Drosophila melanogaster: one gene and its partners. The protein of the gene in region 1 binds, or shares a complex with, the protein of each later gene. Each region holds a gene or a part of one and is shown on either strand. Other genes may lie near its edges.

Region 1 (3,755 bases):
GTAGGTAGAAAGTAAAAAGTTATAGTGTATTCACTTCACGTTGTTGCAAAATAAATACTATTATAAATAGCCGTAAAATTGCTATTAAGTAAAGTTTAAAGACCCAGAAGTTCAAAAATTTTAATACCCGAGTTAGTAGCGTGTCTGTGAAACACTCATACCAATACAAAACGTGTATTGCTCAATCGTTATGCTTACAAATATGCACACTTCGAATGTAAAGTCTGTGCTTCCTGAGCGCACTTCCTTGAATATGAAAATTTGTATTTGTCCAAAATAAGGAAAATTAATAATTTATGGTTGACTTCCCGACTTTATTACAATTCGCCATTTTTACCAATGACAGCTGCACTTCAAGGGTGGCAGAAAATCGATAAGTATTTAACAATTATTATCGATATACTTTCACGTGAATTTCTTTTAACAGGAAGGCCTGATCATACTGCTATCAAACAGAATTGAAGAGGAATTGTATTATATGTGACATGAAAACCTATAGGAGTATTATATAAAGTAAACGTCCATTTTTGGGCTAAATGCGTGAATCTCAAAATGAAAAAAGGGTCAAATATACCAGACCAGAAAATGAAGGTTTTGTTGCTTTGTGGTTTGGATATTTTCCCGTTGTCCTATATATTTTGTAAAATATAAAACGATTTCGTAGATTCTCCGTCCAGTTACCCGCTTTACTTAATATGGAGAATATTAAAATATTGTTTGTTTTTTTACCCTTAACTTATTTTATTCGGACTAGCAATGCCGTTTTTTTTTTGTTAAGGATATATAAAGATTCTTAAACTCTTTCATTTCAATGCGAAATATTTGAAAAAAGTGTGTATATATAGGATTTGTACAAAACAAATGCTCTCGGTGTTCTTCAAAAACAAAAAACAAACAAATGGCTTACAATTACCAAACCCCATAACTTGGGTTAAGGGATCATCTCACAATTGAAAAAAAGTAAACTATAGTACTATCCTTCAGCACCAAAATCGAGTATATATTTTTTTCTTATTGCAAAACCTTTGGAAGCCTTTTGTATATAAGAATATATTTTACATTTAATAAGCAACAGAAAAAGAATATGTTTAATTTTTTATATTCACATTTTACCACAGCGGCTTTTTTTTTAATATGTTCTATAATATTATTCTTATTCTGAACCTCGAGCAGAAGAGATTTTATTGACCTTCCCGTCTAAGAACTGAGCTACCCCATGCTTATACTGTGTTTCCGTGTTTGACAAAAACCAAAACTGACTGTGTCCATATATATAGTGTAATTGGAATATAAACGGTTAGTAGTACTAAATTAGGAAGAATGCTTGTCCGATCCGTTCACACTGGTAACGTTAGAATACCGGAGAAAAACTATTATTACTTAAAATGCTAATTAAGTTTAAAAAACATTTTTGTATTTCAGTACAATAATAAAAAATTTAATCATCTCCGCTAGTGAGCAAAATTCAAATATAACGACAGTGACTCTTCTGCATATAAACTTGAGATTTGCAAAAATATAGATGCATCAACTTCATAAATTCACACTTGGCTGGTTTGTCGCTCTTACCGAAATATCCTGATATATTCCTTTTGCACATACATAAATATACTTATATTATATGTCGTTTTTAATACATACCCCCACATTAATCACACTGCACATGGTCTATTCAAAGCCATATAAATAACAAGATGCGTAACGGCCATACCAAAGACACTAGAATAACAAGATGCGTAACGGCCATACATTGGTTTGGCACTATGCAGCCACTTTTTTGGTGACGGCCAAAATTGCTCTCTTTCCGCTCGCTCACGCTGAGAACATAAGAAATCTAAAAATAGAATTTGCTTGCTTGTGTGAGTAAAAACAAGAGACGGGAACGCGTATATGTGTGGGTGTTGTGCTAGAAGACGATTTTCGGGCCGAAATCAATTCTGATCAAAGAAATGAATTTACATTGTACATATTAGGGTAGTTTTTTGCCAATTTCGTAGCAATATGATGAAATAAAATAATTTTTAAAAATTCGCGCCCTTCTTATTATAATTTTAAAATTTTAATTTTAATTTTAAAATTTTTTAATTTTAAAGCTTTTTAAATTCGTTTGTTAAAATCGCCGCTCGAATTAGCTACCGTTTACATATTTATATTTATGTTGATAATTATTTATGTGTAATATGTGTAATAGTCGGTACCCAGGGAACACTACGGGGAGGCCATTACAATTGTAATGGGGTCTTATATTTACGTATATGACCTTCGAGTCGACTTGAAATATTTTAATGTTTAACATTAAAACATTTCCATATTCCCCAATTAAGTTATTTTTCTAACTATTGTTTTTTATTATATATTGCTCGATTTTTCAGTCGTCAGTTATTTAAATAACGCTCATTTTTTTTATTCATGAGATAGAATGCTGAGCTTAGCTTGCTTTTTTTGTCTATCAGCTATCACAGTCCACTTACAATGCTTAAAAAGCAAAACTTTTATAAGTTTGTTTAAAAGATCTGTTCTATGTGCATAACATTCATTATTTTCATAAAACCATAATGGGAAGGCACTACTTTCATTTGTGCACTTAATGCATTGCTCAACAATAAATTTTTTTATACACATTTGTTTTTTATTATTTTTAAAAATATTTTCGAAAGCTTTAATGTGTATTTTGTAAATATTAAAAAATAAATCAGATGGTGCCCTTAATTTCCCGAAGTCCGATTCTATTGAGTAGTTTTTCTCATGTATAAAAAGCTCTGATGGAGCTGTTAAATGCTCGGTTTCTTTTAAAATTACCGATCTGCATTTATCGCAACTGGATCCCTTAGCAATATATCCAACAAAATATCTACTGGAAGTTAATTCAATGGGTACATCATTGCACAAAAAGTTATCTATATTTTGGTCAAAGTACCTCTCATTGTCTTGCACGATTTTGGAAAATGATACAGAGTATTCTTGTTGCTGTATTTCTTTTTTTTCAACGAAAGGCTGATATATTATCGAATCGAACTCTATTGGCAACATAACATCATCATCTGATTCGCAATTCGACTTTTGTGAAAATTTAAAAATGTGTAGAGATATGAGCTTGGCAATTATTATATTAAATTCGTTAACTGAAGGATTTCTGCAGTTACCACCTTTTGCTCGAACGCACGCAAATATATTTTCAAGGGGATCCTGGTTAACTCTACTAGTTAAAAAGAAAAAGTGGTCTGTGTGATCCTTAAAGAGATCTTCGACGAGTCCAAATATAGCTTCAGTAGTTTGGATCAAGCCATCAACACAATATATTTTATTCCCGTGATATTTAACGCTCTTTAGGTATTCCTGCATTTCCTTTAGTTTGTTCCAAACTCCATTGTTAACTTGGAGCGCGCATTTCATGGGGTTTTTGTCAGTTAATACTCTGCTATTCAGGCAATCAAAGTAATCATTATCTTTTTGGACAAATGCAGCCGTAGAAGCTGCAACTTCGGAACTATTTCGATGTAATTGCTTGTTTTGGTTACAAGTCTTAATTGCCGCTGCAACAGTGTGGCTAAGTGTTTGAGTTGCCAAACATACGCGCATTAGCTCAAATCTGGTTGGATTAACGTGACTCCTTGTTAATTTAGTCATTCTCGTTACTGATCCATGATCTAATTCGTAAACCTCTCGAATGACATCAAAGTCAACTAGTCCGTCAGGGGTTTCAAAATTAGCTCTTAGAAAATTATTCCTTACAGACTTGAAAAGATGCGGAATGT
Region 2 (3,755 bases), on another chromosome or scaffold:
ACAGGCCCCAAATGCGGATCATAACCAGCAGCTCGCGCAGACTGCTGATGGCCACGATGTCTCGGCTGATATCGTAGCTAGGCCGCTTTCCGGAGAGCTTGGTCTTCATTACCTCCTCGGGCAGACGATGCAGCATGTTGAGTGCCAGGTCGGTGACCCACTGAATCAGTTGCTGTAGACTTTGCAGCATCACCGGCTCCACTGTAAAGTCCTTGGCGTCCAGGTTCAGCATCACGGTGTCCACATCCGGAATGGATTCGGCCAGCTTGATGGCCAAGTTATCGGCAGGTCCTTTATCCTGGAAACCCAGATCAGACGGTCGCAGGAGGCTCTTGAATGTGGTGGATATTGCGTGTAGGATAATGAGATTGTCAAACTCCTGCTGCTGCATGCGGCATATGTTGGACTTGAGGGCCAAAAAATTAGCATAATAAAAGTGCCGCACAAAGGAAGGTTGCCGCGTAAAGTTGTCGGTTAGCTTCTCCACCAGAGCCTCCAGGTTGCCTAGATTAAGGAGTAGCACATCGCTGGCATCGCAACCTGTAACGATGCAATATTCCAGAAGTAGCAAACCAGATCCTCCTTGCTTCGGCAGAGGTGCCTGCATGGCGTAAAGTTGTGCATGGCTATCAAAGATTAGGAGAATTTGGCTGCTAGGTGTCAAGTCGCCGCTAACGAACTTTACTGCTCCACTGGCGTCAGATAACCTATCAAACTGGGTGTGATTAAGCTGCTTCATCGAGTTGGGCTCCAGCACCTGGACGCTGTTGTCCTGCAGAATGGCGTACACTTGGCAAGAGTCCGGCGTTGATACCGATAGTCGTGTAACGCTGATATCCGCCAAGGATGCATTTAGTTGCACTTTGCCCACCTGCTCCCAGCTTTCCGATTGCACGAACTCATTTGGCTTGTTGTTGGCACCTCCTCCACCCTGGAGAAGGGCGTGGACACTTTGGTGACGGCGTGTCAATGTCCATTGCTCCAGTTGGCTGCCAGCACCATCTGGACAAGCGTAGGCTATAAAAATCACATCCTCGTTGGCTATTCGCGTCCATTTTAGGTGACTGATCCGCCTCCCGTCAAGAGGACCCAGAAATATGCTGGTCTGGGACTCGGATTTGATGGCCAAGTGCTGCTCCAGACCCAGTTCGCCCTCCAATGAAAGCGAGACCTTAAAGCATTGCACCAACTGTTGCTGCCAGCCACAGCTGAAAGCGATATTAAGGGCTCCCGATGGACTTGGCGTCATGCTGCAGTGTTCGATGAAGCTGCGCGATATGCCGATGCTGTGGAGCGCGGGTGTCAACTCGACGACCTCGTGGGCAGGACCATCAGCTCCTGCGGCGGATGTCTTTTGGATTGCGGGGAGACTGAAGGCGGCCAGCAGGCCTGAGGAAGTGAGTAGCACGCATCCCTCGCTGGCCACTCCGCCAAATCCGCTGAGAGTGGGCCTCTGCTGCTCCACCCGCTCGAACTTCTCCGCATAGTAGGTGTGATCCTTCTTCAGCGCATTGAAGATCACTCCTTTGCCATTCTGAAAGAACTGTGCTTCTATAATGTCCTCGCTGGGCACGGTGGCGTAATACTGCAGCACCCATAGGTTAATTGACTGGTTCCTCGGCTGCCAGATCTCGACGCGACCGCCGACGTATCCAAGCAGCAGTTGCTCCCCATTGGGACTCCACTGGAGGACGCTGATAAGCGATTTGGAGGAGCACACCTTATAGTATTCCCACGGCGTCACGATGTCGCACACGTACACATGGCTGTTGCTCGCGCCTACGGCCAAACCCGCTCCCGGCAAGGATCCATCGCCGGCATCTCCTCCGTGGGAAGCCGGAAATATGGCGCTCTGGAGGGCGCTAAACGCAACGATGTTCCGTGCGGAGACTGAGCAGAGGACCTTCTTGTGCGGAAAAACGCTGTCCTTGCTGAACTCCTTGCCCTCCACTTTGTACAAAATCGTCATTTTTGCAGCGTAAACAAAAACCAAAGCGGACTATTATTGTTTTGCACCCGGCGTCTGCCAACACTACTCTGTGAAGAACTTTACAGCACTGTTTCGCGGGTGTTTAGCGCTTTTCCACTGCATTTTTGATTCCATTGTTACTGTAAAATGTTTGGTTTTTATGTTTAGATTTAAGATAGTGCTCATTAATATTTTAATTCTGAACAGCAAATAAAGCTTTTACAGCGCAGCAGCTTTAAATCATTAATCATTTAAACAAAAATTAAGTTATTAAATAATAGCCAGTTTCTCACTGTTAATTATTTTACGGTCGCCCCAATTTAAGCAAGAATTATTATGACCAGTTGGCCACACTGTCCCTCGTTCAATTTCGCTTTGTTTACATCTGGTGATTATATTATAGTTTATTGTTTTACCGATTTTTTTTTTTTAGTGGCCGCAACAACAGGTGAGATAAGTTTCCGTATTCGCAGCCAGGACGCCGTTCCCCGATCGAGTTCGATTCGTTCGCCAAACAAAAACGGCTGCAAACCGGCTTTTTATATTTATCAGCAGACGTCTTGTGTTTGAAGCGATATTACTCACAGTTTATTGAACTCTGAGGCAGCGTACATTAACTTAGGGCAATAAATACATACACGTCTTACGGACTAACTAATTATGATATCGCGGCTGAAGTGGCTACACCAGGTTGGCATAGCGCAGTCCCTTGACGAGACTTCCGCTGAAGCTGTCCTCGTCAGTGAACCGAATTCCGTCCGCCTGGCAGGACTGCAGGCTGCACGGATACTCGGCGCCGTAAGCACTGCTGTCCCAGCGGATCTGCAGCTCATAGGTCAGCTCCGGATTCAGCACACAGGCCTCTTCGCGTCGCCAGCCAAGATGCAGGTTGCAGTTGTACTTGGTATTCTGGCTCTGGACAACGTGACTCCATACGGGCGACGTGGCCGGACCCTCGCTTTCAGCGGGCACCTCGCAAAGGTCCAGCCGCAGCGATTCGCGGTACTCCAGCTGCTGGACGTGACCCAATAGGTTGGGAGTCAGCCTGCTGTTCAGGACCAAGCCCATCAAGGAGATAAATCTAGAGCACTTTAGACGCAAGCGAAACAGCGGAGTTTCTGCATCCACTGTAAAGGGCCTGCAGGCCTTGTAATAGCAGCGCTCCACCAAAACCACCGGAGTTAGGGCAGGTGATTCCAAATCACTAGCACCCGAAGCCGCAGGCCAGTCGCTTGTTTTGCCACCCAAGTCGTGCACTACTAAGTCGGCATCGCTGGGACCCAGACCCAACTGCTCGCACTCCTGTCGTGTCCACTCATAAACATACCAGATGAGTAACTTGTGCGGTTCCTTGCACGCCGCTATTATGGCCTTCACACACTCCTTGGACACGTGCACATAGTGCTCCTTAAGGTGGCTCATATACTGTCCATTATTAACACAGCATCGCATGAAAAAGGTCATGCAGACCTCCAGCAACCCGTCGAGGCCCATGCAAACACTTAGCTCTAGAGCGGGCAAGATATTGGCAAATCGCAGCTTGCGGGTGATAACCATCAGCGTGTCGGCGATCAGCTCCTCCAGCAGATACTTCTCAGCGGCGTAGTACAGCTCAATGCAGGCCACCAGCTCCAGGCCATTGTAGTCAACGACGCCCGTGTAGATGTACTCCACCAGCACCTTGAAGATGGCAGAGCTTATGTCGTGGATTTCGATTTCCGGCTCGGGCTCGTTGTTTTGCATGGGACCAAAGAACATTGCCTCGAAAACGGGACTGGCGGAGCTC
Region 3 (3,755 bases), on another chromosome or scaffold:
CTACCAGACTGTGGATCGGTTTCCCGCTTAAGATTGATCAAACCCGCTATGGCCGCTGCTGCCGAAGTAGAAGCGGCAAAAGCATCCGCTAGAGATCGCGACTTCGCATCCATTTTAAGGTTGTTAATGTTGGCGAAGCCACCTCCGGGTAGGCTTCCATCGGAAGGCGTCGGCGTATCCATTGAAAACTGGCTAAAGTTATTGCCTACTCCTGAGACAGGTCCACCACCACTCATGCCTCCACCTCCGATTGCTCCAGAACCAGATCCAGGTCCAATCGCGCCATGCAGTTTGAATTCGTGCTCCTCATCCCAGCACTTAAGCAACTTGTAGATTACCATCGGAATGGATACCACTTTGCGCGCGGTGCGGGTTAACTTCTGGGACAGCAGCTCGTATTCGTTGGTCAGACAGTAAACGCTGCACGTGGGCTGACCATCCTCAAGCAGAAAATCCACAGTGGCCAGCGACTCTTCGTACGGGTGCTGCAGCTCAACCGTGATTTGATTAAATGAAACGGCGGTTACCTCCAGTATCACAGTGCTGTCCATATCTGGGACGAATGAGCATAAAAAAAATATTATTATCATAAAACAGGAATGTGGGGGGAAGTGGAGCACCCAACTCACCATTATACTGCTTCTGCTGCTCACGAACACAGCTTGCGAGCAGGGTGTAGAAGAGAGCTTGTTTCTTGAGGAACGCCACGATTCGCGGAACCTGGGCGGGTTCAGTGAAGGGCAGTGATGACACCAGAGTTCCCTGCAGTTTGCGGTTGTCGGTAAAGAAATAGCAGTGCGTCTCTTTAGGTAAATTCACATACAGGCCGCGCTGTGTGTTCTTAATGGCCTGCTTCGATGCAGTTTGTACTATGAGATTAAGCACTGTGGTGGGCGGACCAGGAGGAGTGGCAACTGAGTCTAGACCGGGCAGACCGAGAGCCTTTAGTGATTCCAGGCAAACAGGCATGGGTTTGTTCAGCCGAAGCACAAACGTGGCCGGCATCAGCAGCGAGTTGTTCTGGTTAAGTTGGGCATAGGTGGGAACCTCCAACCCCGTTTGGGCATCGCGGACCAAAGTCACCGTTGGCAAAGTCTGCAGTTTGTTGGCTGATGAGCCTTCGAGATTGATAGTGGCACTCAGTCCGTAGCTGCTTCGCATTACCTGGTCGATGGTGAAATCGCCGCTGGCCAGTTTGGGATCCCCTTCGGGAAGGTGGAGCGGCGGGCAGAAATAAGTAAGCCTCATAGGATGGCCACCGCGACGGGGCAGCACAAGACCCACCGATGAACTTGTCATAAGTGAGTAGCTGTCTCCGGAGTGACCTTGCAGGTGCAGTTGGTATAGGCTCTGGATATCCGTCTCCATGGCCTGAAGCGCTACAAACGCCTTCTTTTTCACCTTGGGCTCGGCATTCAGCTGGTAAATGGAGGACAGACCCTCGAGTTGAACCGTAAAGTCTGCAAAGTCGCCAGACTTGAGGCAGGCCACTAGCTCGCTGGACTGTTGCTCGATCTTGCACTCGTGGTGCACCTTGACGTCCGACAGACTGCCGGCGGCGTCCAGCAGGATCTCTACGTAGAACATGTCCGTTGATATGAAGAGAAGCTGCTGGTCCTCCATGAACTTGAGGCCCAACTGGCGCGAGAGGCTCTCCAAACGCTCCACAAGGCCGTGGCGTGACGTGACCTTGATGTAGTGCTGCAACTTGTCCAGCGCCGACTGCAGCGTGGCCTTGCACAGGGGGTCCAGAGGGTAGTGCTTCTCGATAAAGTACATACGCACCGACTTCTTGATCTCCTCGTAGCTCTTTGGCTTGTTCCGGTACTTGGCCCGCAGCTTCTCCATCATGGTTTCCTGCTGGATCTGCTTGTTCTTTTCCTCGATGCTGGGAATGTGGCTGCCGAAGCCTGTGCAGATTTGTGTCAGTGGTGCTCCGGACATCTTAGTTATGGGGGTATATATTAGTACTTACCAGTCCCCGAGGACTTTGCATTGGATCCGCTCATATCTATGCGTTCCTAAGTAAACTGTATTTACTTAATGATGCTGTGGCATTTTTGACAAAGAATTGCGGCAAATGAAAAAGTTCTCGATCTAAATAGCTCAGAACCTTTTTTCTATGCCTTCATCATGGCAAAAAAATTTCAACGCCAAAACAACAAAATGGCTGATCCTTCACAGTGGCTGGTCACGCTATAATAAAATACTGGAATATAAAACGGAACTATGATATTTCCACTGCGTCATTTGATATTCGATGTATTCTGATTCAAAGCTTGTATCAATTGCCTGTTCAATTATGTATGTTATATTTTTTAGTATGAGGGGTAAATATAATGAAGCAATTAACATCTATATTCTATACATCCTTCTGGTACTTTTACATTCTATTTTTTATGATGTAATTGTGCCTCATTTCCTACTCGAATTTTCTCTTAAGCTACAAGGGTATTGTAATGAACAGAAAAGCTCAAACATTCTTTCGTTAAAAAATAAATTACAGGCCTCATAATTTAATACCGATGATTTAATATTTATTTAAAATTTCCAATGATTTCTAAATGTCTTATTGGCATAAAGTTTAATTTGGGGTTTCTGTTCCAAGAAACCGAAAATGATTATTTAAAGTTTCTTGAGATTTGAAAGAAACTATAATCCTATAAAAATAAATATCAGCTAAAAAAAACTTTAAGGACTAATCAAATAAGTAAACAAATACAGCTTACGACTTAAACAAATTTTATTTCGCTAAATTCATGATAAGTCTTAAGCGTTCCTCTCTTCCTCGTACTTACCTAAACTACGACAGATATACGGATTATATTGAATATAGGTTTGGTCCGACAAATCAAAAGTAGTCATAACCTTTACTAAAGGTAGATGTTATATTTCATAGAAAATTGCAAAAGCTTAAATTCAAATTTTATTAAACATTTAAAGTATTTCAAATTTCTGTTTTCTCTAAATTATTTTGGTATATTTATTATCATCAAAGTGCAGAGCGATATTTGTATGCATGCGCGGTCACATTGAGCGTAAATGATAAATATTTGTTATTAAAGTGTTTCGGAACCAAAGGTTAACAATTCAGCCACATGACGTCCATTGCGGGAGGCCACGGCGAGGCGAATCCAAACAGCTCCTGGCTGAGTGCCCGGGGATTTTGGCTAGCATACCTCCTGGGCCTGCTGTCGGTGCACCTGCTCTTCTTATCAGTGCCCTTCGTTAGCATTCCATGGGCCTGGACGGCTACCAACCTGCTTCACAATGCAGTGAGTGCTCATGGCGCCGTTGAGGAGTCAGTCCTTATCCTAATCCCTCTTGCCAGGCCCACCTGTACTTTCTGCACGTCATCAAGGGCGCTCCCTGGCTGAGCACGGAGAACGATCCCAGCCGGCGTTGGACGCACTGGGAACAGATCGATGACGGGGTACAGATGACCACAACGCGCAAGTTCCTCACAGCTGTTCCCATTGTTCTGTAAGTGAATACGTACTGAAAGTCGGCCAATATAGGTGGGTTTTTATTTAAAAAAATTAAAACTAAATGAAGACTTAAATTCTAAACTTGTTTTAATGTTGATCAAAGTATTTCAATAAATACTTTTTATGTACTGCAGTTTAATTGAACTAGTAATGTAATTGCTACCATATAATGCCTAACATAGAAACTCATGAAATAATTGATTTTTTTATAGTTTCCTACTTACCTGTCTGTACACCCGAAACAACACGGAACACTTTATCCCAAAC

What was found.
Region 2: MED26 (region 1) and MED16 share a complex: the UniProt entries of both Drosophila melanogaster proteins name them as parts of the mediator complex.
Region 3: MED26 (region 1) and MED1 share a complex: the UniProt entries of both Drosophila melanogaster proteins name them as parts of the mediator complex.

Annotation. Positions count from the first base shown.
Region 1 is NC_004353.4:787,254-791,008, forward strand, and holds the start of MED26 (mediator complex subunit 26), read right to left. Parts: upstream 1,726-3,755; 5' UTR 1,642-1,725; intron 362-1,641; exon of another isoform or gene 199-361; intron 1-198. UniProt on the Drosophila melanogaster protein: Component of the Mediator complex, a coactivator involved in the regulated transcription of nearly all RNA polymerase II-dependent genes.
Region 2 is NT_033778.4:22,181,425-22,185,179, reverse strand, and holds the start of MED16 (mediator complex subunit 16), read right to left. Parts: upstream 2,043-3,755; 5' UTR 1,970-2,042; coding exon 1-1,969. Other genes in the region: CG11275 (uncharacterized protein), read right to left, coding at 2,651-3,755. UniProt on the Drosophila melanogaster protein: Component of the Mediator complex, a coactivator involved in the regulated transcription of nearly all RNA polymerase II-dependent genes.
Region 3 is NT_037436.4:21,632,287-21,636,041, forward strand, and holds the start of MED1 (mediator complex subunit 1), read right to left. Parts: upstream 2,161-3,755; 5' UTR 2,010-2,160; coding exon 1,976-2,009; intron 1,911-1,975; coding exon 630-1,910; intron 554-629; coding exon 1-553. Other genes in the region: ORMDL (orosomucoid 1-like), read left to right, coding at 3,099-3,275, 3,332-3,483, 3,701-3,755. UniProt on the Drosophila melanogaster protein: Component of the Mediator complex, a coactivator involved in the regulated transcription of nearly all RNA polymerase II-dependent genes.